Linked DNA regions of Xenopus tropicalis. The protein of the gene in region 1 binds, or shares a complex with, the protein of each later gene. Links are inferred from orthologs where the notes say so. Each region holds a gene or a part of one and is shown in the gene's direction. Other genes may lie near its edges. The genes, in order: med25, med24, med26, med21, med18, med12 and med7.

The links.
Region 2: med25 (region 1) and med24 share a complex: the UniProt entries of both Homo sapiens proteins name them as parts of the mediator complex. The link is inferred for Xenopus tropicalis from reciprocal best matches to the Homo sapiens genes MED25 and MED24.
Region 3: med25 (region 1) and med26 share a complex: the UniProt entries of both Homo sapiens proteins name them as parts of the mediator complex. The link is inferred for Xenopus tropicalis from reciprocal best matches to the Homo sapiens genes MED25 and MED26.
Region 4: med25 (region 1) and med21 share a complex: the UniProt entries of both Homo sapiens proteins name them as parts of the mediator complex. The link is inferred for Xenopus tropicalis from reciprocal best matches to the Homo sapiens genes MED25 and MED21.
Region 5: med25 (region 1) and med18 share a complex: the UniProt entries of both Homo sapiens proteins name them as parts of the mediator complex. The link is inferred for Xenopus tropicalis from reciprocal best matches to the Homo sapiens genes MED25 and MED18.
Region 6: med25 (region 1) and med12 share a complex: the UniProt entries of both Homo sapiens proteins name them as parts of the mediator complex. The link is inferred for Xenopus tropicalis from reciprocal best matches to the Homo sapiens genes MED25 and MED12.
Region 7: med25 (region 1) and med7 share a complex: the UniProt entries of both Homo sapiens proteins name them as parts of the mediator complex. The link is inferred for Xenopus tropicalis from reciprocal best matches to the Homo sapiens genes MED25 and MED7.

Annotation. Positions count from the first base shown.
Region 1 is NC_030683.2:117,454,692-117,458,650, reverse strand, and holds the start of med25 (mediator of RNA polymerase II transcription subunit 25), read left to right. Parts: upstream 1-1,159; 5' UTR 1,160-1,276; intron 1,277-2,282; exon of another isoform or gene 2,283-2,365; 5' UTR 2,366-2,390; coding exon 2,391-2,515; intron 2,516-3,353; coding exon 3,354-3,399; intron 3,400-3,489; coding exon 3,490-3,614; intron 3,615-3,959. UniProt on the Homo sapiens protein: Component of the Mediator complex, a coactivator involved in the regulated transcription of nearly all RNA polymerase II-dependent genes.
Region 2 is NC_030678.2:112,543,924-112,548,187, reverse strand, and holds the start of med24 (mediator of RNA polymerase II transcription subunit 24), read left to right. Parts: upstream 1-1,464; 5' UTR 1,465-1,645; intron 1,646-4,264. UniProt on the Homo sapiens protein: Component of the Mediator complex, a coactivator involved in the regulated transcription of nearly all RNA polymerase II-dependent genes.
Region 3 is NC_030677.2:112,253,949-112,257,358, forward strand, and holds the end of med26 (mediator of RNA polymerase II transcription subunit 26), read left to right. Parts: intron 1-932; coding exon 933-2,579; 3' UTR 2,580-2,910; downstream 2,911-3,410. UniProt on the Homo sapiens protein: Component of the Mediator complex, a coactivator involved in the regulated transcription of nearly all RNA polymerase II-dependent genes.
Region 4 is NC_030679.2:3,065,995-3,070,178, forward strand, and holds the start of med21 (mediator of RNA polymerase II transcription subunit 21), read left to right. Parts: upstream 1-1,384; 5' UTR 1,385-1,410; coding exon 1,411-1,452; intron 1,453-3,004; coding exon 3,005-3,119; intron 3,120-4,184. UniProt on the Homo sapiens protein: Component of the Mediator complex, a coactivator involved in the regulated transcription of nearly all RNA polymerase II-dependent genes.
Region 5 is NC_030678.2:78,266,383-78,270,550, forward strand, and holds the start of med18 (mediator of RNA polymerase II transcription subunit 18), read left to right. Parts: upstream 1-1,368; 5' UTR 1,369-1,522; exon of another isoform or gene 1,523-1,528; intron 1,529-2,477; 5' UTR 2,478-2,494; coding exon 2,495-2,567; intron 2,568-4,168. UniProt on the Homo sapiens protein: Component of the Mediator complex, a coactivator involved in the regulated transcription of nearly all RNA polymerase II-dependent genes.
Region 6 is NC_030684.2:44,423,774-44,426,790, forward strand, and holds part of med12 (mediator of RNA polymerase II transcription subunit 12), read left to right. Parts: coding exon 1-122; intron 123-208; coding exon 209-370; intron 371-873; coding exon 874-1,257; intron 1,258-1,424; coding exon 1,425-1,563; intron 1,564-1,643; coding exon 1,644-1,831; intron 1,832-2,137; coding exon 2,138-2,209; intron 2,210-2,359; coding exon 2,360-2,583; intron 2,584-2,656; coding exon 2,657-2,813; intron 2,814-2,958; coding exon 2,959-3,017. UniProt on the Homo sapiens protein: Component of the Mediator complex, a coactivator involved in the regulated transcription of nearly all RNA polymerase II-dependent genes.
Region 7 is NC_030679.2:14,184,237-14,187,358, forward strand, and holds med7 (mediator of RNA polymerase II transcription subunit 7), read left to right. Parts: upstream 1-1,254; 5' UTR 1,255-1,285; coding exon 1,286-1,975; 3' UTR 1,976-2,622; downstream 2,623-3,122. UniProt on the Homo sapiens protein: Component of the Mediator complex, a coactivator involved in the regulated transcription of nearly all RNA polymerase II-dependent genes.

The DNA of each region.
Region 1 (3,959 bases):
ACTGTGTATGGGGGGTACTGTCTCCCCTGTGTGGGGCGGCAAAACTGGTAGATAGTTAAAACTCACTTATATGTATTGTAACATTTGTCCTCCCTGTGTGTAATTCTGTATATTGTAAGACTGTACAGCGCTGCGTACCCTTGTGGCGCTTTATAAATAAAGTTATACATACATACATACATAATTGACTGCCTTCTCTCTATATTTGTATTTATATGTAGGAGTTGCTATTTTGTTTTCCTTAGGTAGTACAGTATGAGGGTATAGCACATTTGCATCTGATCCCACCATTTCTACTATATAAAAGGAGTATTTTTAGAAAAAATGGGGTGTGTTAATTGGGGCGTGGCCACAAAAGTGGGCATGGTCAAAAAAATTTGCCGCACTGCGCGCACCAAATCTTTTTGTCCCTCTTTTTGTTTTTCAAATGTTGGGAGGTATGCATATGCCATCCCACCAGCGATTTACATTCTTACCAGTGGGATGGCATGTCGGGGAGATTCGGCGCCTACAATAGTGAAGATTTATTGCGGGGACATCTCCATGTGTGCCACTGCCCTCAAAAGTGATTGTCACCCAATATCTTTTCCTTATCCAGCCCTTTTTATGTCCCTACATTGTACAGGACATGAACTTTGTTCACACAAATAACACCAGGGCACTAACGATTACTGGGACTGATATCCAACACCCATTATATTCTCCTAAATTAGCCCACTTTCCCCCTTTAAAGTAAAAAAAATATTGCTATAGTCTCCACATAAAACTAAAGCAGCGCTCAAAATAACTAGAAGTCTGTTTATGGGTAACAGCTGGTGAGGGTCTAGCTCCCCTATTAAACTAGAAACCCCTGCCTGAATGGGCTTCCTAAACGAGCTTATAAGGCTGGGTCAGGTACACAAAAGTAAAACATACTTTTTGTTCCTTGTTTTATTACTTTGTTACCTTTTTTTGTTTGTTTTATTACTATATTGAGAAAAATCTGCCCCCATAGGGTGTAACTAACAACTCATGAGTGAACATCACAGCCACACTTCATTGTCAGTCATCCCTGAGCTACAATAGCGGCTGCGTGTTGCGTCACCGCGTTTATAAATGTACGGCGTGACGTCAAAATCTCGCGAGATGAGAGTTGAGACTTGGGACTAGCTGTCCGGCAGCAGCAGCCGAGGCGCTGGACATTGCCGGGGTTTGTGGGACGATTAAGCAGCGGCTGGGATTGCGGGATGCGTTAGGGAAAGCGGGGCTGTCCCGCGAAAGGCGGGACTGTTGGGCGGTACGTATGTGTGTGTGTCTATACGTTCACAGACTCAGTGGGAAGCCCTAGTTCATGTAGGAGGAAGACATGTGTAATACTCTTTCTTTTCATGGGGACCCGCAGCAGCTGAAGGGTTAATGCCAAGGCAACCAGATTCCCTCTTGGTGTTGCTGAACTGAACGTGTAAACTTGTGTCTTGGTCTGTTTGTGTTTCTTTAACTTTGTAACTGGACTTTATCTCTATGGAAAGGCAGCTGCAATGATGGCAGAGCTGGGGGGCTCCCTAGGTTTGATTCCAGGAAGGAAATCACCTACAAAGAATGGGTCTCCCTGTGTTTGTATGGGTGCCTCCTGGTACCCAGTGTTAGGCTATAATCCAAAAAGTTTCATTGGTTCCTGATATAATGTGCGTGAGTGTGATAGCGACTTTAGATTGCAAGCTCTGCTGGGAAGGGGGCTGGGGGCAATGATGTGTAATCATCAGATCTGTTATACAGAGCAGCAGAATATATTGCCGCCTTTATAAGACAGGACAGTTTTTCTTTGAAAATTAAACTAAAGCTCCATTCTGCTTCCTGATCCCAATGAGCATAGTCAAACAAACCAGCAGCCCACTGAGCAGCCTCTGTATAAACAAACCCCTCTTCCTACAGCTCCAGCCTGTTATTCTTTGATAAAGAGTAACTCATACAGATGCCTTTTAGTGGGCTGCTGGGTTATTTGGCCCTGCTGTTTGGGATCAGGAAGTAGAATGTGGCTTAAGTATGATTTTTTTTAAATGTTTATCTGTCAAAGGTAGGGGCTTGTTTAAACAGAGGTAATATTCCCCATATAAAAACTCTGATTACGGTAGCAGGGAAGGTAGTAAGCAAAAACAATTTTCCACTTTATTATAATAAAGCAAATATATTTATTAATTCAAAGATCCTGCAGAATGCTTGTACAACCCAAACCTTATTTATTTTGACCCTTTAATAAAAACATGGCAAGTGTGACTCATTTAAGAAACCTGTGTTGTTTTCAGCAGGTGAATGCAGTAAAGAGCAATCAGGGGCTTCTGCTGCCACAATCTGAAAGAAAACGAATGTATTTTTATTCTTCGCTTAGGGTGGATCAGTGAGAGGCTTCAGCAATGGATGCAGCCACACCAGGAAACGGCGGCATAATATCCGATGTTGTCTTTGTCATAGAGGGAACGGCTAATTTAGGACCTTACTTTGAATCACTACGGAAACATTACCTGTTACCTGCAATAGAGTAAGTCCTACTGCAAATATTTGGTAAGGAAGTACTTAATCCCCCAGGATTTTTGAAGTAGAACAAAAACAGGGATTCTCTGCATTTGACCACTCTCCCTAGTTGCCCTGTGAATGGCTGCCATGACTGGGTTCTGCCTCTGCTCTCTCTTAGCAGCCACCAACCAGGAGCATGAACACTTGACTCAAGGAGCTTATTGCCTTTACATGCACATGTGTATTTCTGCTAAAGAACAACCCACTGCACAACTGCACACCACCAGTATGGGAAGCAGGGCCATCCTAAGGTGGGGGTGTCTTCGCTGCAGTTAAGGAAAGGGGACTAATACTGGGGACCCATAATTAAACCATGCATTTTGTTCTCCCTTAAAGCTGAAGCTTTCACTTTCTTAAGGTGGCCATGCACGTTAAGATACACTGGTTTGGCAAGGTTGCTAAACCAGCGGATCTTTCCCCAATATGGTGGCCAATAAGGTGGGCCAAATCGGGCTAATTTGATAATCAAATGACAAAGACGGCTATTGGAGCCATTGGACCGAGAACCACATCAATGAGCCAATACAGTCCCTAATCCAACGCCCATCCAATTGACACCTTGCTGATTTTTAGCCAGATATCATTCTGGGATGCCCATTGGGGGTCCCCATACAAGTGCAGATAAGCTGCCAAATCCGTTTAAATCTGCCCATGCATGGCCACCTTTACAGTTTCTGCTGTGAATTCTCATAGCCCTGTAGTATGTAAACAAAATATCACCAAACTTTTTAAAATGCTATATTATGCTAAAATTCATTATTCTGTTAAAAGTAAAACGTTTCCCCTCTTCTTTTCTTTCTTAGGTATTTTAACGGTGGACCCCCAGCAGAGACTGACTTTGGAGGAGATGTGAGTAACGCAATAAACACTATTTACTTCTGTGACAATTTATCTTGGTTTTCTAAATGTGGGCTTACATTCTGCTGTTTTGTCTTCCAGTATGGCGGCACCCAATACAGCCTGGTAGTGTTTAATACGGTGGACTGTGCTCCAGAATCCTATGTCCAATGTCATGCCCCCACCAGCAGTGCTTATGAATTTGTCCAATGGCTGGACAGCATTAGGTAAGATATTTGCTTCTCTGTTCTCTCTCACTGCTGTAAGTCTCACCTGAGACAGACATGTGATCTCTGCTAGCTAGAACCTAATACTGGTATGGGATCTGTTTTCCAGAAACTCATTATCCAGAAAACTTTGAATTACAGGACAGCCACCTCCCATTCATAATTTTAATATTGATTTTGTTTTGTTTTTTGCGAAACATTCCTATTGGGTTTGTTTAATGTTTTAACAGGTTTTTAGTAGACTTAAAGTTTGTAAATCAAAATTACGGAAAGATCCCTTACCCGGAATAACCCAGGTCCCATACATGTATTTTTAATCACGTGGCTCTTGTAGACGGCCAACTT
Region 2 (4,264 bases), on another chromosome or scaffold:
TAGCTGTGCCCCTCATTTTAGATGACTTGACATACCTTTTCATATTAAGGGTTAAGTTTTAACTTTTGTTCCTTTGGAGTCCTAGGATTCATACACCAGTGGATGATGCAGAGGTTTATTTGCTGATCACTTTCTTTTCCCTTAGCCACACCCACATTCATTAGTAGAGTAAACGTTATCTTTTTGCCAGTACAGCACTCTGTAGTGCCAGTTTTCTCTTTACACCATGTTTTTGGATCAGTATGAAGAATCCTAGCTGCTCACTCAAAGGAAATCTGGTCAGCTGATGGCATTAATAACGATTGTTGGGGACAGTAATGGATGGTATTGAACTGGGTATACAGTAATCCAATTGTGTGGGGTGCACCTGGCACAAAGACCTTCTGAGCAGATGATTTTTTAAAAAACACTTGGTTAACAGTACTATAACCAGACATGTCAGCTAACCACATGTATATTTGCCATCTTTTTGCACAGATAATACCAGCAGGGGTAGGGGCAGGTCAGTATAGAGACTGGCTGTGACATAAAAGGGTGGATGGAGTTGTGACATCAAGGGTCAAATCTGATGTTGGTAGTATGACTGGTGTCTGTTGGAGCTGAGATGGGAGTGGTGTGCTTGGTCAGATAGATTAGTTATTACAAATATATATCCAAGTACATTGATGGTAAATTTGTAATACTGGCAATGCCCTAGGCTGGTAAAATACTAACCAGGTGGCAGCCCTAAACCTGTCAGTCAGGGTTTCCTCTTCACTTTCAATAGCAACATGAAAAATGGTCTTAAAAATACCCAGAGTGGTTAATTATTTGCAATATCTACATTTTTACAGGAGAGTTTAGGCCATGCCATGACCATGTTCATGCCCCTACTCCTCTGGCTCTGCCATCTTTACCTGAATCTGCGGGGATTTGGGGGTTTAGGCCTTTTAAATTACAAGATTGACTGAGCTATAACTATGGATGTCTAGGGCCAGAATAGCATTATTCCCAACCCAAATCTGCATTATCACCCTAAGGATTGTCTTGACAACTAAATCCTCAAATGCTGTTATGAGGTGACAATAAAGCACTTTATACTGAAGCCACTGTCCCTTTAATAAAAGCAGATCCAAAAACATATAACAGAAACCACTTATAAAGGAGATAGGAGACGCAAAAATACATTAATAAAATGACCAGTTGCAAAGTGGCTTATATTTCTTCCATCTTCTAGCTACTTCAATTTAATTTAAAAGTTAACTTTCCATTTAAAATATCAACCAAAAATGAAGCAGAAGTTGTCCCATGACAATTTGACGTTCCCGAAATTAGCCATCATTCCTCTCTATTAAAGTTGCCGTTTTGGCCTTTACAAAGATGGCGGGTTTTCGTTTCCTTATACGCAGCCAGCACGCTTTCCTCCTGTTTCGACCTTCCCAACATGGCGCCGATTCGATTTTTACACGCATCAGGGTTACGGATGACGTAAGCCGTAAAGGACTGGTACACCCTCCGCCCCCTTGCGGCGATTCCCTTTTGTGCGAGGGGTCGAAATTGTTGCTTCCGGGGACCGGACATCGGAGGCGATAGCCGAGAGAGGGAAAGCGAGTTACTCGGTGACTAGCGAGGCACTGTGGTAATAGGGACAGCGAATGAGTGAGAGGTGGGTACTGCTACTGTTACTACGAGCGTATATAGGAGACATCTCAGGGCACATAGAGACATGCTATAGTGTTTTTGGCAGGGTTTAGGTGGGAGTCTGAAGATTTGGTTAGGAACTGTATGACATACATGTGTATTGGGATTATATATATATATATATATATATATATATATATGCCAGCACTGTGGGTACTTACACATTACATGCTAATACTGTGCCATACAGGTGGTTACTTACAGGTGGTACAGAGGGCACTGTAGTTAAAAGTGGGCACTCCTTACTCCATCACTTTCCACTTCCTCAGACCCTGGTGTCAACAATGAAAGTCAAACCCACAGACTGAGAATTGCAGACTCAGATACACACTGGCCAAATTTACTACACAACTGTAGACTTGGTTTAACACTGTATTAGGTCTTTGGTACTTGGGTGTTTTGAGTGCCACTGCCCCTGTGTCAGGCAGGGTGCTTTTCATTGATTAACATTACAACTAGCTTCAGACAAGCCCCCTGTGTGTAGTTTTAGTTTTAAATGGGATCAATATCTTTCTCCTTAAAGGAGTATTCCACCCAAACACAACTTAAGCATTTGGAAAAGTATACATGAATCTGGCTGACTACTTTGTGACTCAAATAAAATGTAACAGTAGTCACCTGTCTTCAGTCTGCATATTCCCAATCCCACAATTCCCTGTTGCACATGTGATGTCAATAAGGAAAGAAACATCACAGTGCAATGCATTGTGGGTTATGTGAATCTTGCATGCTGTCTGTAAGCTGTGGAGAGGTTGTTACAATTTGTAACATCAGTGTTTTAGTCCCTCCTTCCCTGCCAGGATTTTAAATGATACAGAAAGAGAAGAACTGTTTTGCAGCTAGATTTCAGCATATCAAAATGGTATTTATTCATACCTTTTGAAGGAACAGATTACAGTGATAGGTATATTAGAGGTTTCTGTGTTGTGTGGGGCTCTTTAGCAAATTTTTGTTTTGTTTTTGTAGTTCCCCTTTAATGTCATCAGTGTCTTACAGAACTGCTGCTTGGTATAGAACTGAGCAAAGAAGCATCAGGAGATTATTTCTTGTTCATTAAAGTAGAACAGCAGTGAAGCTTTTGTTACATACAATCAGTAATGAAGATGAAAAATTAAGATTATCTCAAAAAGTTATAAAGCTATGGTTCCACACAAAATCCTTTTGGCTGATTTTGAAAATATTCATTTTCACTTTTCAGCGTGACTATATGCATGCTGCTTTGTACTTTCATTTTTAATCAGTTTTCCAAATTTCTAATTGATATCTTTAACTTGAATTGAAAAATAGTTTGAATTTTTTAAATCCAACTCCCATTGACTTCAAGATGAACTTGTCAGCTTTTAGACACAGATTCTTTAATTTGAATCCCTGAGTTTCAGAAAATGAATGTATTTAGCTTTTTGCTGAGTAGCTCTCCAGTTTGCAATTTCAGCAGCTATCTGGTTGCTAGGGTCTTGGTTACCTTAGCAACCAGGCAGTGGTGTGAATGACTGGAATATGAATAGAAGAGGGACTAAATAGAAAGAATAAGGAATAAAAAGTTACAATAAAATGAAATTGTAGCCTCAAAGAGCAAATGTTTTTTGGCTAGTGGGGTCAGGGGACCCCCATGTAAAGATAGCAAATAATTAAAAAACTATTAAAAACAAATAATTAAGACCAATTGCAAAGTTGCCAATAGTACATTTTATAACATACTAAAAGTTATCTTAAAGGTGAACCACCTCTTTAAATCACAGTAAAAACTTGTATACAGATTTATATAAATCTGACCCTAAATGTTTTCTATGCCAGCAAAGAAAAGGCTGGCGTTGTTAAAACCTTGTTTTCATAGAAGACATTGGAATCCTCTGATTCCACTGTGAGAAGTAAAAAGAACCCTACAAATTCAGGATACCTTTTGGACAATTTCACCCATAATATTCTCCATAATTAACCTTTTTGCCCCTAAATTGCGAAAAATCTGGCCCATGTTTGCACATAAAACACTGGGATCCTCTGATGCATCTGTGATTTAAAAAAAACAAAAAACTCCACATTATTAAAAAAAATCAATTTCACCTATTTTCTTCCACTAAATTGGCCCATATTTGTGCCTAAATTGTGAAAAATCTGGCCTTCGTTTTCGTGTCGACTTTCAAAAGCCACTGTGAAAAAAAGAACCTAAACACACTAGATGCATTTTAGTAGTTTCATTCACTGTCTTTTCCTAAATTAGCTTTTTGTCCCTAAATTGTGAAAAATATTGTCGTCGTTTTGACAGAGCACTGGAATCCTCTAAAGAGCCTAAAGAACTTTGGCCAATTTTACACATTTTCTTCTGTTTAAGTAGCCCTTCGTTTGTGCATATATTGTGAAAAATCTGTCCCTAGTTCTTGCATTAAAAACACTTGGACCCGCATTCAGTCACTGCATTCTCTTAAATTACTTTTTTTCTTGTTCCAAAATTGTGAAAAAATATGACAGTTTGCACAAAAATTAGACCAAAGTCTGATGCCAAAGTAAAAGAGCCTAAAACATCAATTACATTTGCAAATCAAAATAACTGCTTATTTATATGTTACTTTTGGTGACAGCTGGTGTG
Region 3 (3,410 bases), on another chromosome or scaffold:
AGGAGTCTTATTTGACTCTGCTCTCTTTCCCCACATTCAAACACTCTCTAAATCTTCAGTTTCAGCTCAAAAACTTATCCCCAAGTACACCCCCAGACATTACCTTTGCTCTGCACACAACCTGCTTCTCTCCTTCTCACTCATCACCTCCTCTCATTCTCGCATGCAGGACTTCTCACATGCTGCACCCATCGCCTGGGATGCTCTTCCCCATCCCATTAGGCACTGCCAGAGTCTCCAGGCTTTTAAACGGTCTCTTAAAACTCACCTTTTCATTCAAGCCTTTAGCCTAAGCCCTCAAAAATGTAATTACCCACTGAACACCCCTAATATTTCTCATACACTCACTAACCACTGGTTTTCACCTCTTACTCTGCACTTACTGTCACTTCACACACAAACATGAACTCTACCGCCATAACTAAACCATTTTTTGTGCATTGTCTATATTTACATGTTAACTATTTTGTCTTTTGTACCCCTTTTATTCTGTAAATCACTCTGTGAATTGACATTCTCTATAAATAATATAGCAGCTAAGATAAACCCTGTAGAATACAATGGTGTTTTATCTGTTATCTGCTATATAACCTGTTACTTTTCTCATTCTAGCTTGAATGGCTGCCCCCATGGCTAAACATCCACACATACACACACATATATATATTATATTATATTATATATGTGTGTGTGTGTGTGTGTGTATGTATGTATATATAAATATATTACACACTAAAACACTTTTGGTGTTACTCATGTCACTGTATGCTCTAAGTCTGTGGCTCCTTCAAAAAAGGTGGTGAGCACCACTGTAGCTAATCTATTTTACAAACGTTTTATTTTTTAATTTCAAAAATAAAATCTTGGTTTCTTAAAGGTATATACTTTCTAAGTTACTCATACTATTATGAAATGTGTTTTTCCACCCCCAGGAAACTCGACTAGGAAAACTGATTAATGATGTTCGGAAAAAGACCAGCAATGAGGAGCTTGCCAAGCGTGCAAAGAAACTGCTGAGAAACTGGCAAAAGCTGATTGAGCCAGTGACCCAGAATGAACAACTTGTCAGGGGCATCTCTAACTTACCAGGTTCTGCCAATGGAGGTGGCTCCCACAACTGCAAAGCAGAGCCTACACCAACTACTCTTCTTGGTGGGAAGCCCATACAGGGGCTGAAAGACAGGAATGATATTCAGAGGGCACATTCTCCAAAAGCAGATAAAACAACCAACAGAAAGAGAAAAGGAGAACATCGGGATGGTGGCCTGAGTACCCCAGGACATGTATCCAAGCCCAACCATGAGCTTTTTCAAAACTCCTCACCCCCACCTACAAATGGCATTGGGGGAAGTCCCCCTGAGAACCTCCCTAGCCCTCTGGATGGAGGTTTGCAATCTAATAGACTGGAACCTGCTGAGAATGACAAGCATGGAAAAATACCAGTAAATGCTGTCCGGCCTCATACCAACTCTCCTGGACTTGTAAAACACCCAAGCACTTCCTCTCTGCTAAAAGCAGTTGTCCTTCAGCAGCACAGTGGGGGGTTGGAAGATGTCCTTTCTCACCAGCCCAGAAGTCCCCGCTGTTCCTCCTTTAGTCCCCGTGGCACTCGTGCAGAATTAGCTACACGGCAGCACACCACATATGCACCAAAGGGTTCTGCTCCTAGTCCTTCCCAAAGGCTACCGGGTGTAGACTCTGCACATCAGTCCCCTTTGCACCCTTCTACGCCCCCTGCCACAGCAAAAAGACTGGAGTCCCCTCGACAGGACAGAATCTCCTCCCCACACAAGCCGGTAGAACAGTTACCCTCCACTGATTGCCACCAGGTCTTACCTAGAACGTCACAACAGCACACCCCCCGCAGTAGCCTTGTAGACTCTCAAACCCCCCGTACTGGCTTTTCACCAGAGTCCTCAAAAGTAGATAGTGATGATGCAACATCAGGCTCAGACAACCGCAAGAGGAAAAAATCCAGACTTCGAACAGAGTTTGAGGGGCATTCTGCAGATGGGACTGGTAAACCAGCAAGGGTAAAAAAAGAACGCAAACTAACATTTGATGTTATGACAGGGCAAATTAAACCCTTAACCCTTAAAGATCCAGTGCAAGCAGAGAGTACAGCTCCTTCAGAACAACACAGGACTGAGACTGACAAACAGGATCCCAAGTTATGCTTGCCTAGTCCCTTTCAGCTTACGAACTGGAAAGAGCTGTCTCGAAATGAAATCATCCAGTCCTATCTCAATCGGCAGAGCAGCTTATTGTCTTCCTCTGGTGTACAGACGCAGAGTGCACATTATTATATGTCAGAATATTTAAAACAGGAGGAATGCACTAAGAGGGAAGCAAGGAAAACTCATGTTTTAGTTCCAATTGTTCTTCCAAGTGATCTGCCTGGAAGAACCAGGGAAATCACTAGCAGTGACACAGACAGAATACACAACCAACATTGGCCTGGTGTCAATGGCTGTCATGATACACAGGGCAACTGGTATGATTGGACGCAGTGCATCTCATTGGACCCTCATGGGGATGATGGTAGATTAAACGTCTTGCCTTATGTCTGCCTAGACTGAGCGCGGGTCCCAATTCCGCTTTCTCACATCCACGGTTTTCACTGCAAAACCCTGGGTCGCTCAGCGACCACCGCTCATCAAAGGAGATTTGTCGAGTGAGGAGCCCCCATTTCAGTTTTGGGGATGGTAGATGGAGGGGCTGATAGAGCCAGAAGCAGAAAAGAGATGTTTAGAGGGTCACTACTACATTCTGGGAATTATCCGCAGGTGTCTCAGTGCCTGCTGCACCCATCCCTTTGCGCAAAATGCTGCTACCGGTTTAATACTATAAATGAGGAAAAGAAATGCAGTGGAGGGCTATATAGCAAGTGAGCTGTAGTAAAAAAAAAAAGAAAAAAAGAAAAAAGTGTTAAATTCAAACCAACCCTAAAATCAGAGTGAGGTTTTCCCGGTACCTGCAGAAGGGCTGGAATAAAAATATATATAAATATATATATATATGACAGGTACCGAAAGCTTATGTGAGATGATTTAAATAAGTTGAAGATGTTACCTTACCATAACAAAGTATGCATTTATTTATTTGAATTAATTTTTTTTTTCCAGATTTTATTTCTATTGCCATTTAATTTGACAGAACCGCGTCTTAAATATTGACGCACTTAAACTTTGTGTTCCTAGCATCTCAGCTGGTCCTTTAAATTTGTAAAAAGAGAGAGCAGAAAGTCTTTAAATCCATTACCTTGGCTTACCTTTTCAATTTGAGTTGTTTCATGTATTTGTTCAGTCTCTGAAATAGTTTTGACAGGCTTGAACATTCCACAAATCCCCCTCAAATCCATATTTTAATAATTTTACACCTCAATTACCACTAAACTGTTGAAATTGCTG
Region 4 (4,184 bases), on another chromosome or scaffold:
CCCCCATACTGTACTGTCTAAGGGAAACACTATGGCACCCCCTACCCATATGTATAAATACAAATATACAGAGAAGGAATGTTCTGGGCACACAATAAGCTGTACCCCCATACTGTACTGTCTAAGGGAAACACCATGGCACCCCCTACCCATATGTATAAATACAAATATACAGAGAGGGAATGTTCTGGGCACACAATAAGCTGTACCCCCATACTGTACTGTCTAAGGGAAACACTATGGCACCCCCTACCCATATGTATAAATACAAATATACAGAGAGGGAATGTTCTGGGCACACAATAAGCTGTACCCCCATACTGTACTGTCTAAGGGAAACACTATGGCACCCCCTACCCATATGTATAAATACAAATATACAGAGAAGGAATGTTCTGGGCACACAATAAGCTGTACCCCCATACTGTACTGTCTAAGGGAAACACTATGGCACCCCCTACCCATATGTATAAATACAAATATACAGAGAAGGAATGTTCTGGGCACACAATAAGCTGTACCCCCATACTGTACTGTCTAAGGGAAACACTATGGCACCTCCTACCCATATGTATAAATACAAATATACAGAGAAGGAATGTTCTGGGCACACAATAAGCTGTACCCCCATACTGTACTGTCTAAGGGAAACACTATGGCACCTCCTACCCATATGTATAAATACAAATATACAGAGAAGGAATGTTCTGGGCACACAATAACAAAAAAGAAAGTCTAAGCAGGCACTGCCCACACAGGCTTTTCAATACAGATAATAAGGGAAAGTCATATTCAATTTGGGTCCCAATTTCTTAGGGCCCTTATGTGCTAACCAGGGGCCCCAGGGCCACTGTATCTCTATGGAATTATCTTTATTTACTCGCTCTCTGAGACCCCCCAGTAACAGGATCAGGGTTAGAGAGCAATCCCAGCAATCCCACAGGCACCAATAACACTGTCTCTTTAAATTCTTCTTGATTCTATTTATCCTGAAACAACATAGACAGACTGGCGACTCTGTAGCAGCAACTCCACAGCAAAAGTGTAGCCCATGGAGGATTATGGCCCCCCCCCCCCCTTCCATCATAAATGGAATATAAAACCTGAATACAATTGTCCAATAGGCAGCATCGCCCTCTAGCGACCAAAAGAGGTATCACACTGAACGCTATTTAGCAAGTTGGCAGGGAACGTCCAGTGTAGGTAGAAGTACACATGCGCAGTCTCCTTTCCGCCGTTACAACCCCGCCTCTACTGAGGCTGGCCAATAGAAATAGGCGTTTCTCGTTCCTCCTATTGAGAAAACGCCGCAGTGACCCTTAGCCAATAGAAACCTTTATTGTACCAGTTAGCCAATAGGAAGCGGCGCTGAAGGTATGGGCGGCTGGTTCGGCTTTGCCAGCTGGAAAGATGGCGGACCGGCTGACGCAGCTCCAGGACGCGCTGAATTCGGTGAGCGCTTTATCTGTGTGTGGGGTTTGTGGGGTTTGTGGGGAAGGGAAATACATCCTCTCGCTGCCCGCAGTTGGGTCCCATCTCGGCTTTATAGTCACATTGTAACTAATGGTTTATTCCATTCATTGCTCGCAGCCCCCACACTGTGTCCAATGGATCTTATTACCCAGAACCCCATGTCTATGAGGGTTCCCTCAGCTGATGCGGATTATATCGCCGCCCCATCCCATATATATCCCCGTATATCCCATATATATCCCTGTATATCCCATATATATCCCCGTATATCCCATATATCCCCCTGTATATCCCATATATATCCCCGTATATCCCTATATATATCCCCCTGTATATCCCATATATATCCCTGTATATCCCATATATATCCCCGTACATCCTATATATCCCCCTGTATATCCCATATATATCCCCGTACATCCTATATATCCCCCTGTATATCCCATATATATCCCCGTATATCCCATATATCCCCCTGTATATCCCATATATATCCCCGTACATCCTATATATCCCCGTATATCCCATATATAGCCCCGTATATCCCACATCCCCCTGTATATCCCATATATATCCCCGTATATCCCACATCCCCCTGTATATCCTATATATCCCCCTGTATATCCCTATATATATCCCCGTATATCCCTATATATATCCCCGTATATCCCATATATCCCCGTATATCCCATATATCCCCGTATATCCCATATATCCCCGTATATCCCATATATCCCCGTATATCCCATATATATCCCCGTATATCCCTATATATATCCCCGTATATCCCATATATATCCCCGTATATCCCATATATCCCCGTATATCCCATATATCCCCGTATATCCCATATATATCCCCGTATATCCCATATATATCCCCGTATATCCCATATATCCCCGTATATCCCATATATCCCCGTATATCCCATATATATCCCCGTATATCCCATATATATCCCCGTATATCCCATATATATATCCCCGTATATCCCATATATATATCCCCGTATATCCCATATATATCCCCGTATATCCCATATATATCCCCGTATATCCCATATATATCCCCGTATATCCCATATATCCCCGTATATCCCATATATATCCCCGTATATCCCATATATCCCCGTATATCCCATATATCCCCGTATATCCCATATATATCCCCGTATATCCCTATATATATCCCCGTATATCCCATATATATCCCCGTATATCCCATATATATCCCCGTATATCCCTATATATAGCCCCGTATATCCCTATATATAGCCCCGTATATCCCTATATATAGCCCCGTATATCCCTATATATAGCCCCATATATCCCATATATAGCCCCGTAAATCCCTATATATATATCCCGGTACAGATAAGTACTTGCTATTGGCAGCAGTGCCCAGCTCCACCCCCAGGTTCTGACTCCTGACACAATGTAGCAGGTCAGTTTAATACCAGCCTATTAACTCCCTCAGTGCCAGGGGGGCATTGGATGAATGGAGTTGTAACCCCTCCCCTTTGTCTCTCCAGCTGGCCGATCAGTTCTGCAATGCCATCGGGGTCCTCCAGCAGTGCGCTCCCCCCGCCTCCTTCAGCAACATCCAGACGGGCATCAACAAGGACCAACCGCCCAACCCCACTGAAGGTGAGAGACTGCGAGTGGCCCCCAAACTGCCCCGTTACCCACCCAAATGCCATTGTAACCACGCCCACTGCGCACTGACACACCCCCAGCACTGACTACCAGACCAGCACACAAAGGGTGTGAAACTGTCTGTCACTGCTCTGTGTGTATCAGCCAATGCGTTTATAGACACGGGGTAGGAGTACCGGGAAATACACTCCCCCGTGCACAGGAAGCAGAGACAGTCACACGGGTACCAGGAAATACACTCCCCCGTGCAAAGGAAGCAGAGACAGTCACACAGGTACCGGGAAATACACTCCCCCGTGCAAAGGAAGCAGAGACAGTCACATGGGTACCGGGAAATACACTCCCCCGTGCACAGGAAGCAGAGACAGTCACATGGGTACCGGGAAACACATTCCCCCGTGCACAGGAAGCAGAGACAGTCACACGGGTACCAGGAAATACACTCCCCCGTGCACAGGAAGCAGAGACAGTCACATGGGTACCAGGAAATACACTCCCCCGTGCACAGGAAGCAGAGACAGTCACACGGGTACCAGGAAATACACTCCCCCGTGCACAGGAAGCAGAGACAGTCACATGGGTACCGGGAAACACATTCCCCCGTGCACAGGAAGCAGAGACAGTCACATGGGTACCAGGAAATACACTCCCCCGTGCACAGGAAGCAGAGACAGTCACATGGGTACCGGGAAACACATTCCCCCGTGCACAGGAAGCAGAGACAGTCACACGGGTACCAGGAAATACACTCCCCCGTGCACAGGAAGCAGAGACAGTCACATGGGTACCAGGAAATACACTCCCCCGTGCACAGGAAGCAGAGACAGTCACATGGGTACCAGGAAATACACTCCCCCGTGCACAGGAAGCAGAGACAGTCACATGGGTACCGGGAAATACACTCCCCCGTGCACAGGAAGCAGAGACAGTCACATGGGTACCAGGAAATACACTCCCCCCTATATTTATATCAAAACATTATATCGATTGTTCTGCTTTAGTGCCTTCATACTCGTTTCCCAGTCTGTTGCTATGGGCCTCTGTAGGGGAAGTTCA
Region 5 (4,168 bases), on another chromosome or scaffold:
CAATGATGAAAACACCCCTGGCCACTAAAGAAGAAGGGCAGAATTGTTGTATATTACGTTTTGGGGGTTTCGAAAAGCCAAAGGTGACCACAGCTCTGTAGCAATGAATATATGTGCCTTTAAAGGAGACATATTGGATAAATGAGAAAAACACTTATTTTGTAGGCAATTATAAATAATATAAGGTGCTGGTTTCACTTTGTGCTAAAAATTAATCCTATCTGTAAAAATGGCCCCTTTATTGGAGCTCCCTATAGATTGTATCACTTCTCCGTCCAGTGTGAAATGAAGAGTGGGCGTGTCCTAATGGTCCCTTCCAGAAGCACAGTAGGAGGGGGAGAGCCAATCACAACCCTGCACTCACACAAGCAAAGACAGGCTTCAGTTCCCTATCAGGTCAGCCTAGCTGCTGATTGGTTCCTATCCTACAGTGTAGTGTACGGAGGGCCGCCGGCTCCCCAGCTCATCCAGAGAATTCAGCCAGCAGGAAGTGGAACTGATGGGCGGGACTAGTATGGTTTTGGTGGAATTTCTCAATAAATCAGGTGAGTGATGGAGGCATGGTCAATCAAGTCAGGGGTGGGGTTATGACGGGTGATCGGCCACTGGCAACTGTCAGTCTAAGAGAGTCTTGCCCTGTTTCCCTAATTTGAAAAACTGGGCAGGGAGTTTTGCCCCAAACAGTCCTCCCAAAAAGTGAGCTGTCCGAGTCAAACAGGGCAGGTCCTGAAGAGACAAAAATCAGTATTCAAGCTTTACCATTGTCATCTGTTCTGAGCAAGAAGTGGACAGACTTGCATATTTTTTGCAAGTTATAATTGAGTCAAAATTAAGCCACCAGTGCTAGCATTAACCAATGTTATCACATATTTGTAATTGCGCCAAGACAGGTTTAAGAGCAAGTAAAGATCTATGATTTGTACTAAGATATATGGTTGCCAGTAGTAGGGTGGCCCGATTACTTTAAATTTAGGGACATGTCTAAAAAATCCAGCTAGCAGGGCTGTATTGATTTTAAATGCAATCAGTGCTGCCCTGCAACATGTATTTATTAGACGTGGTCCTGAATTTTCAGTAATCTAATCACCCACCAGTAGGGGAATTTTTGGTTTTGGCAGATCGTATTGGCTTCCTACGAAATAAGGGGCAAAATACCCCCCTCCCCCCACGACTGCGTTAATACCTTCTATTTCGAGCGTCCTCTCCTTTACGGCACATACAAGCGTGCTACGTCACGGCCCAGTCTTCCGTGCCTCAGCAGGCACCCTGGTGCCCCGCCCTCACCCCAAGTGCGTCACACGCACGCAGTACGCAAATGCAAAAGCTCCTGGTGTTCTGGAGCCAGCCTCCTGAGGACTTGAGGGAGAGTTGTTTTATGGCGGGTTAGCCGTGCACTTAGGCACCGGAACTTAACTTATTAGCTGCTTGAGCTTGCTGGCTGTGCTCTAAATGAAGTAATTGATCCCGTCGCATCCCGGTTCCATTCACTTATTTACAAAATTTTGTCGGGCACTTTGTTTTAGTAAGTGTATGTATTTATCAGCTGCCGTGTTTGTACCTCTGTGTCTTTATTGTTAATGAATTGTAAAAAGAAAACACAGCTCTGCATATACAGTTATTACATAAAAATGTACACACAAAACACCTAGGATTGCTGTCTTTTCAGTAGGAAATGACTGGCCTTACAGTCTTTGTTTTACTTCCTGCTTAATAACTTTGGAATAACGTTGGGATCCCCAAACCTTATTATGCATGAACCACATAGAAAGGTAAAAAGAGTTAGGGAGGAACACACGCATGTGAATGTTCATGGGGTGCCAAATATGGGCTGTGATTGGCTATTTGGTAGGCCCTATGTGGACTGGCTAATTTGAGGCTCTGTTTGGCAGTGCACCTGTTTTTTTAACCATAACTTGCCTCCAAGCCAGGAATTCAAAAATAAACACCTTTGAGGCCACTGGGAGCAACATCCCAGGAATAAAACAACATTTTGCTAGCCTGGTAGTACTCTACTTAACAGATCTAAAAGTGGGATGACCCCCATTTATGTCTATGTGAGGCTTGTGCACATAGTGCTATGTCAGGTATTGTTAAAGGAGAAGGAAAGGATGAATCACCGGGGTTGAACTCTTTGTGAAAGATTAGGCAAAAGTAACCTGATTTTAAGGATTTGGATATAGTTTGGCCTGAAGCTTGGATTTGGCTGAACCCTGCTGAAAAAGGCAGAATCTTCACCAAATCCTGAATTAGGTGCACCCCTAAATTAAACCATACCTAGGAAAGTAGGAAAATAATCTGAAGCATTGTACTGGCAAAGTGAATGCAATTGTTTCTGTTTTTATTCAGGACAAGTTCAGGCTGGAGGGGGGTTCTAGTAGAACATAAGCAGTGCAGTATTAGTGGAGATTCAGCCTTGTCTTGACTACAATTGTAAACATATGAATATTGTGTATAATATATTTGTTTTGTTTATTTAGAGAACTAACATTTTGCAATGGAGGCTCCCCCAGTCACAACAATGCCTGTATCTGGAGGAACTATTAACATGATGGAGTACTTACTGCAAGGTAAGAACAGCCTAACAAACTGTACTGTTACTGTATTAATGGTATTAGTTTGTCCCCTCTAACCAAAAAGTCTGTTTAGGCCCCTGTTTGTTTAGCAAGGTATACGAAAACATGGTTCTAGTAGTCACTGTATATAATTTTATAGCTGTCAAAAAATGTAAATAGCATTTGGTCACGTCACGGCCCGGTCTTCCCTGCCTCAGCCGGCACAAGCCCTGGTGCCCCGCCCTTACCCCCAAGTGTGACACACGCATACAGCTATGCAGAAGATCCTGGTGTTCTGTATATAATTTTATAGCTATCAAAAAATGTAAATAGTATTTGGTCACGTTTACAGAAAATAGCCTTCTGTCTCGGCATATCATTCCATTTCTTTTTAGCCCCAAGTAATGCCAGTCCTGCAGTTCATTTATTTTCTGTTTATTATGTTTATATAATGCCAACCTGATGAAGCACTAATTATTAGTCATTTACAAAAGCCTCTGCTCACCATTGGAGCTGCTATTATAGGGTCGTAATTAGTGATGCCTTACCCACACATGCCTGGCATCACTGGAGTGGAGGGGTTTGGCAGAATAAAGATATAAATAGGATGGTAGCCAGCTAGTGGAGTGCTGCAACATGCTGACATCACAGGGTGGTACATGGGTAGAGTCAGGACTAGAACAAGAAAAGTGTTGCACCAGCCCGATCATGCCCAGCCATTGGGTCCAGACATTTTAGGCTGGTCTGTGCAACACTAGTCTCAATCAACTTCACACAACAAAGGTTTGATTAAATTAAAATTTGGTTTATCTGTATGTTTTTCGAGAAAAATAAAAACATGCAGACATGCATAGATATTCCTGTTAGATAGTGCCTAGATAAAAATCAAACTCATGGCATCTGTGCTGAAAGGCACCAGTGGTAACCACTGGTGCCTTGACATGCACTGATAAAATCCTATGACTTTACAGTAAACTCTTTTGAGCAGGACCCTGTTTTACCTCTTGTATTGGTTATTGGTTGTATTCCTTAATTTTTTTCTTTTTTAATTGACAATTTTTTTGCATCTAAAAGTTTAACTCTCAAGATTTGCATTATATCTATATGTATCTCAAATACTGAATGTGTCTGTACGTGAATCACAGGAAGAGAGAGCATAGAGAGAGAAGGAAGTGAAGTAGGAAGAAAGAAAAGGAAGAGAACAGGGGAAAGAGAAAGGAGAAAGAAGAAAGAAAAAAAAATATGAAGAGCAAATAATATAAATTATTAGCTATAATTCCTGGATATCAGCCTCAGTAAAGTTCTTCCATGAGTCCCATTGCATTGTGATATTCAAGGGTTTGTGAGAGGTTGATAAAGTTTTTTAGTTCCAGCATTGAGGGAATAAGATCGGTTTTCCATTTTTGAGCTAAAAGAAGCCTTGCTGCTTCTAATATGTGTACTGCAAGGAGTTTGTTGCTTAAAGGAACAGTAACACCAAAATATGAAAGTGTTTTAAAGTAATTGAAATGTAATGTACTGTTGCCCTGCGCTGGTAAAACCGGTGTATTTGCTACAGAACGCTCCTATAGTTTATATAAATAAGCTGCTGTGTAGCCATGGGAGCAGCCATTCAA
Region 6 (3,017 bases), on another chromosome or scaffold:
CTGTCCTAGACATGCTCAGTGTTCTGATCAACGGAACTCTGGCAGCTGATATGTCCAGTATATCTCAGGGGAGCATGGAAGAGAATAAAAGGGCATACATGAACTTAGTAAAGAAACTGCGGGTAAGGGATTCTATGCATGCCTTTTTTCCTATTTGTATAGAAACAACCACATCTCTTCTAATCTCTTCTTTCTATGTTTCCTGTAGAAAGAGCTGGGTGATCGTCAGTCTGAGAGTCTAGAAAAGGTTCGTCAGCTCCTTCCTCTCCCCAAGCAGACTCGGGATGTAATAACTTGCGAGCCACAGGGATCTCTTATTGATACCAAAGGCAACAAGATTGCAGGTTTTGATTCTATTTTCAAAAAGGAGGTGAGTGCTTTAAGCTTTAAGTCTTGCTGTGCAATGCATGACCTTGGTATAGCTGCTACTGCAGGTGACAGGACAGTAAAGAGTAAATTGGAGTTTCAGCTTCTATAGTTAGATCCTTTCAGTTGATAGTTCTACTCCACTGCTCTGTGGTCCTTCTTCTGAGTAAGACACCCAGGATCTCTGGTTGCCCTAAAACACAACATATCAAACATGTATCAGAAAGCTGCAGGCTGACAGCTGGGGTTTGACCAGGAACAGAGCCCTTTTGCAGTACACCCAGATGTAGGCCACCTTGGGGCTTCTTGGCTAGGATCCTCTTAGCCACCGTGTTTTGTCCCAGAAATTAAGAATAAATAAAATTAGGATTGTACTCTCCTTTTCCTTACCGTTGGTACATTTCCTCTCTGCGGCTTCCCACTAACCAGCCTGCATTTTGCCTGCCTTTGCTGCTTTTCTTTTTCACATCGATTTTCTCCCTAAATATCTCCTCCTTCCTTCTACAGGGTCTTCAGGTTTCCACCAAACAGAAGATCTCCCCTTGGGATCTGTTTGAGGGGATAAAACAGTCTGCTCCTCTTTCTTGGGGCTGGTTTGGTACTGTACGTGTGGACAGACGTGTGTCTCGCATGGAGGAGCAACAACGTTTGCTCTTGTATCACACCCACTTGAAACCAAAGCCTCGTAGTTACTACCTAGAGAACCTTCCTCTTCCACCTGAGGATGAAGAACCTCCTACTCCTACAAGTACCGAGCCTGACAAAAAGCTCAGCGAGGCTCTTAAGGTGGACAAAAGTGGAGTGGGTGGCACCACTAACACTGATGACAGGAAGAAGCCAAGCAAGCCCAAAAGAGAGAAAAAGAGGAACATGGCACCCAGCAAAGTAGAGGTTTGTCTGTCTCTTTTGTTCTCCCAGCGTGAGCACCAAGATTTACTGTTATCCGCAACAAGATATTTGAGTTGCAATCTCAAATATTGTAGTTGCTACTCAAATATCTGAGCACTTCTTTGCCACTTCCTACCATCTTAACAAGCCCTTTGCTTGTGACCTAATAGGAATTTCCACTTGGTCCTGGCCGCCCGGGCCCTTATGGAATGGTCCCCACTGATCTTCTGCATACCCAGGCTGCTGGAATGTCCCGTTTACCTTATGCAACCCAGAACATGTATGCTCAGAACCAACCACTACCACCAGGTAAGTATATGTCTTACTTCCTTTGGCAATAAACTTTCAAAAGGAAATATTCTAAGCCTTCCTGTTCTGAACACTCCTAGGTGGTCCGCGTCTAGATAACTCATACAGACCTACGCGGATGGCTATGGTAAAGGTTCCTGCCCGACCTCAGTATGTCAGTGGAGTCCCTCAAGCTGGGATGATGGACTCATACAAGCCTGTGATGTACAGACCACAGCCGCCAATTCCTCAGGGGCAACTATTAAGACAGCAGCTGCAGGCTAAGTTGGTGAGTTTGAGGTTGTTTTTGGTGATCAGGAAAATTTGGATAAATATAAATAGTGTTCAGTGTCTTTGCAAGGCTGTTTTAGCCAGAGATCAGTTTTCACTGGTGGTTCTGCATACAAGAGCTTTGACCTTCCCCCTTCGTAGTTTGTGGGAGGAATGTGCATTTCAGAGAGGACCTGAGATTAGCACTAAAAACTTATGCAGATTTTTGGTAAAATAGTGGTGGTCTCTTATGTAGTTTACTCCATACACATCTGTGTGTCAGTATTACTCGGGCAGATTCAGAATATTATCGTCTCCTTTATAGGCACAAGGAATGATGCCGCAGCCTGTACGGCAGATGAGTCAAACTCCTTCATATGGCTCTATGCAGCCTCAGGTATGAATGGGGGGATTAAGTGGGTTGTTTCATTCTGTATTTTTCTGAGAACTGACTTGTTTACTCTTCTTTTGCCACCATTTTAATTATATCATAAAATGTCAAACTTTTTTTTATGATATTATTTCTTTTCTTACTGTACTTCCCTAGGGTTACACATCATATGGCTCTCATATGACCTTGCAGCAACACCCTCCTCCATCCCAGGCTGGTGCTTTGGTGCCCCCACCATACAGTACTCAGCAATACCCTGGATCTCTTCCCCCTTCTGGTGGGGCTCTTCTTGATCCAGTGCGCCAGATGCAGCAGAGACCCAGCGGCTATGTGCACCAGCAAGCCTCTGGTTTCAGTCACAGTGCTTCAGCTGGACAAAGGTATGTACAGCTGTAGATAGGCGTGTCAGTTGCTGATTAAATGACCATAATAACACTGTTTGTACCATTGCAGATTCCCGCACCAGCAGATAACTCAGACAGGCATGATGCCAAGCATGGGTCACCTTACTACACAGCCAGTAACAGGTGCAATTCGGCCTCAGCTGTTACCTGAACAGCAGCAACAACAACAGCAGCAGCAGTATTTAAGACAGCAACAGATATTAAGGGTAAGAGGTTAGAAAACTAAGGGGCTATGATAATATTTTCAAACTAGTTTCTATATCTGGCCTCCTGGGTTGCTAGGCCGAGTGACAGAGGCTTAGGGATTTGCAGAATTTATTTTGAGTAATAAGCAGACATAACTATTTTCAGCAACAACAGCAGCAACAACAACAACAACAACAGCAGCAGCAGCAGCAACAGCAGCAGCA
Region 7 (3,122 bases), on another chromosome or scaffold:
AACGTTTCGGACCAGGTCTAGGACCTTTATCAAGATGTTAAGCCATAAAAAGTCACACACATAATGAGTCTTTATATAATACAAAATGCCTAACCCCGCCCACATTGAGCAGAGCCCCAACCCCAAATTGTGAATTAAAGAAAACACATCAGTACAATTAATTAATTGTAATAGTGTTTATTAATTGTACTGATATGTTTTCTTTAATTCACAATTTGTGTATTTTATTACATTAACATTTATTTATAAAGCGCCAACATATTCCGCAGCGCTGTACAATAAGTGGGTTACATACATTGGACATACAGAGTAACATATAAAGCAATCAATAACCAATACAAGAGGTGAAGAGAGCCCTGCCCAAAAGAGCTTACAATCTACAAGGAGAAAGGGTTGAGACACAAGGTGTGGGAATGGGCATGGCCAGAGTTGTGAGAGGTGTGGCACAGGGTATTGCTAAACTAGATTAGGGTAAGCCTCTCTAAATAAGTGTGTTTTTAGAGATCTCTTGAAGGCAGAGAGATTGGGAGAAAGTCTGACAGTTTGTGGGAGCGAATTCCAGAGAAGGGGGGCAGCCCTTGCAAAGTCTTGAATGCGAGCGTGTGAGGAGGGAATGAGAGAGGAGTTGAGGAGCAGGTCAGTATGTGCTATACAGGATACCTCGTTTCGTACGATAATCGGTGCGTGTATGGCATGTCGGCGAGTCGACCGATATCGCAGGAATCTGCTGATATCGGCCGACTCGCCGATCGGACCAGTTTGAAAATTTTGATCGGGCGCCATAGAAGGCGCCTGACCAAAATTCTCCCTTCAGAGCTGAATCGGCAGAAGGAGGTAAAAATCCTATTGTTTCTACCTTCTTACCTGCCGATTCAGCCTTGAAAGGTGTGTGGCGGATCTGACAATGTTTCGTGCGACCGATGGTCGTACGAAACATCGTCAGATCGCCACGTGTATGGCCAGCTTAAGGGTTGTGAAATGGGGTTGGGGCTATGCTCAATGTGGGCGGGGTTAGGCATTTTGTATTATATAAAGACTCATTATGTGTGTGACTTTTTATGGCTTAACATCTTGATAAAGGTCCTAGACCTGGACCGAAACGTTGATGTTTTTAACTTTATAATGTAACAATAAATGAACTAAAAAAATACAGGAGTGCGCATCATCAATTGGAATGCATATATATATATATATGTGCTGCACACACAGGGATTTATATTGTTATTTGTATGTAACTGAATGGGCTTTTTCTTTCTGTGTCACAGGTTCTCCTACTCACTTCATAATGGGGGAGCCTCAGCAGGTCAGCGCTTTGCCTATACCTCCCATGCAGTACATTAAGGAGTACACAGATGAAAACATCCGCAAGGGCCTGGCCCCCAAGCCTCCCCTCCCCATAAAGGACAGCTACATGATGTTTGGCAACCAGTTTCAGTGTGATGACCTTATTATCCGCCCTCTGGAAACTCAGGGCATCGAGAGGCTCCACCCCATGCAGTTCGACCATAAGAAGGAGCTGAGGAAGCTCCTTATGTCCATCCTGGTCAACTTTCTGGATATGTTGGACATCCTGATCCGAAGCCCAGGCAGCATCCGAAGGGAGGAGAAACTGGAGGACCTAAAGTTGTTATTTGTTCACATGCACCACCTTATTAATGAGTACAGGCCCCACCAGGCACGTGAGACCCTGCGGGTGATGATGGAGGTGCAGAAACGTCAGCGGCTGGAAACGGCAGAGAGGTTCCAGAAACATCTAGAGCGAGTGGTGGAGATGATCCAGAACTGTCTGGCATCGCTACCCAATGACCTCCCTCTTTCTGATGGCGCAGTCAGTGTAAAAACTGAACCAATGGATGTTCGGGAACCCTGTACGGACCATCATGCGGGGCCCCAGGAGGCAGCAGCAGCTTCTCTGAAAGAGACCACAATTGATAAGGATGCAGCTATGTGTGTTATCATCGATGAAATGACCTAGTCCAATAAGCAGTTCTAATCAGGACTCTTGAACTTTAGAAGTCACAAGGATTCATTGAAATGCAATAGCATGGCTCTATGTGTTGGTTGTATTCATCATGGGACTTGGCAAGGAAAATGTTTGTCCCAAGGGAACTCAGTCACAGCTATTGCTCATGTACATGTCTGTTTATTGTGCTTTTCTGCCATGCTTTTGAAAAGGCAGTATGCAAGAAGGCTAATATTTTTCAGTGTTTTCCCTGCCAGTTCATGTGTATGAGGAATGGAAGGTTGTAGTTCTGCAACACCTGGGTGGTAACTGCTTATTTGTGATTAAACAGACAAAGGACTGGGGTCAGACTTTTGAATGTTATCTAACTGATATACTATGTATGGAATCTACTCATTGCAAGTTATGTTTGTACAGTTATTCACATGTTCTGAGATATCAAAGTTTATTTAAAAGTTAATATTACAATTGTTTGTATCTTTTTCTCTCTGAATTGGAATATTTTAGTCTCAGATTGGTTTGGAGCATGAAAATCCCAAAATGGGTGCTGTTATCTGTTATAGGAGAAGTCCATATTTTGAAATGCTCGCCTTTACAGTTTATCATGTTTATTTACTTTAATATTTGTATTACTGCATTATAGTTTTAACCCTCTGTCACTTCTAGCATCTTTCCTATTAATTATCCACCTCCATTAAGGATGCTGTGTGCATTCACATTACATGCAAGCTTTCTATCTCCCCTGTGTCAGCCTTTGTGACAAAGCAAGGGTTAAATGACTGTGCTTAGGTTGGGATCAAATTCATGAATGGTAGCAATGAATATACATTTTATCATGATAGGAGGATGCTATGCTGCACTGTAAATAACAACACACTGTGAGCACTAAGGTGCAGGGACAAGAGCTGCTATACAGAAACAAAAACATGAGTACCAGGATCTGTGCATTTACAACATTCCATCCTCATTCTGATTGGTAGAATGGATATGTTTAAGTAAGCTCCACCCTGCAGTCTACAGATGCTGGCCAAAATATTTGGAAGGTAAACTTGTTGGCTGCCCCAGCCAGTTGTTATTTTCAGAAGGGTGGTGCTGTGGGCACCTAGGCCTTATTTCCTAAGGAGGTTGGTGAGATTACAGGAATCCCCATCAGTTGCAG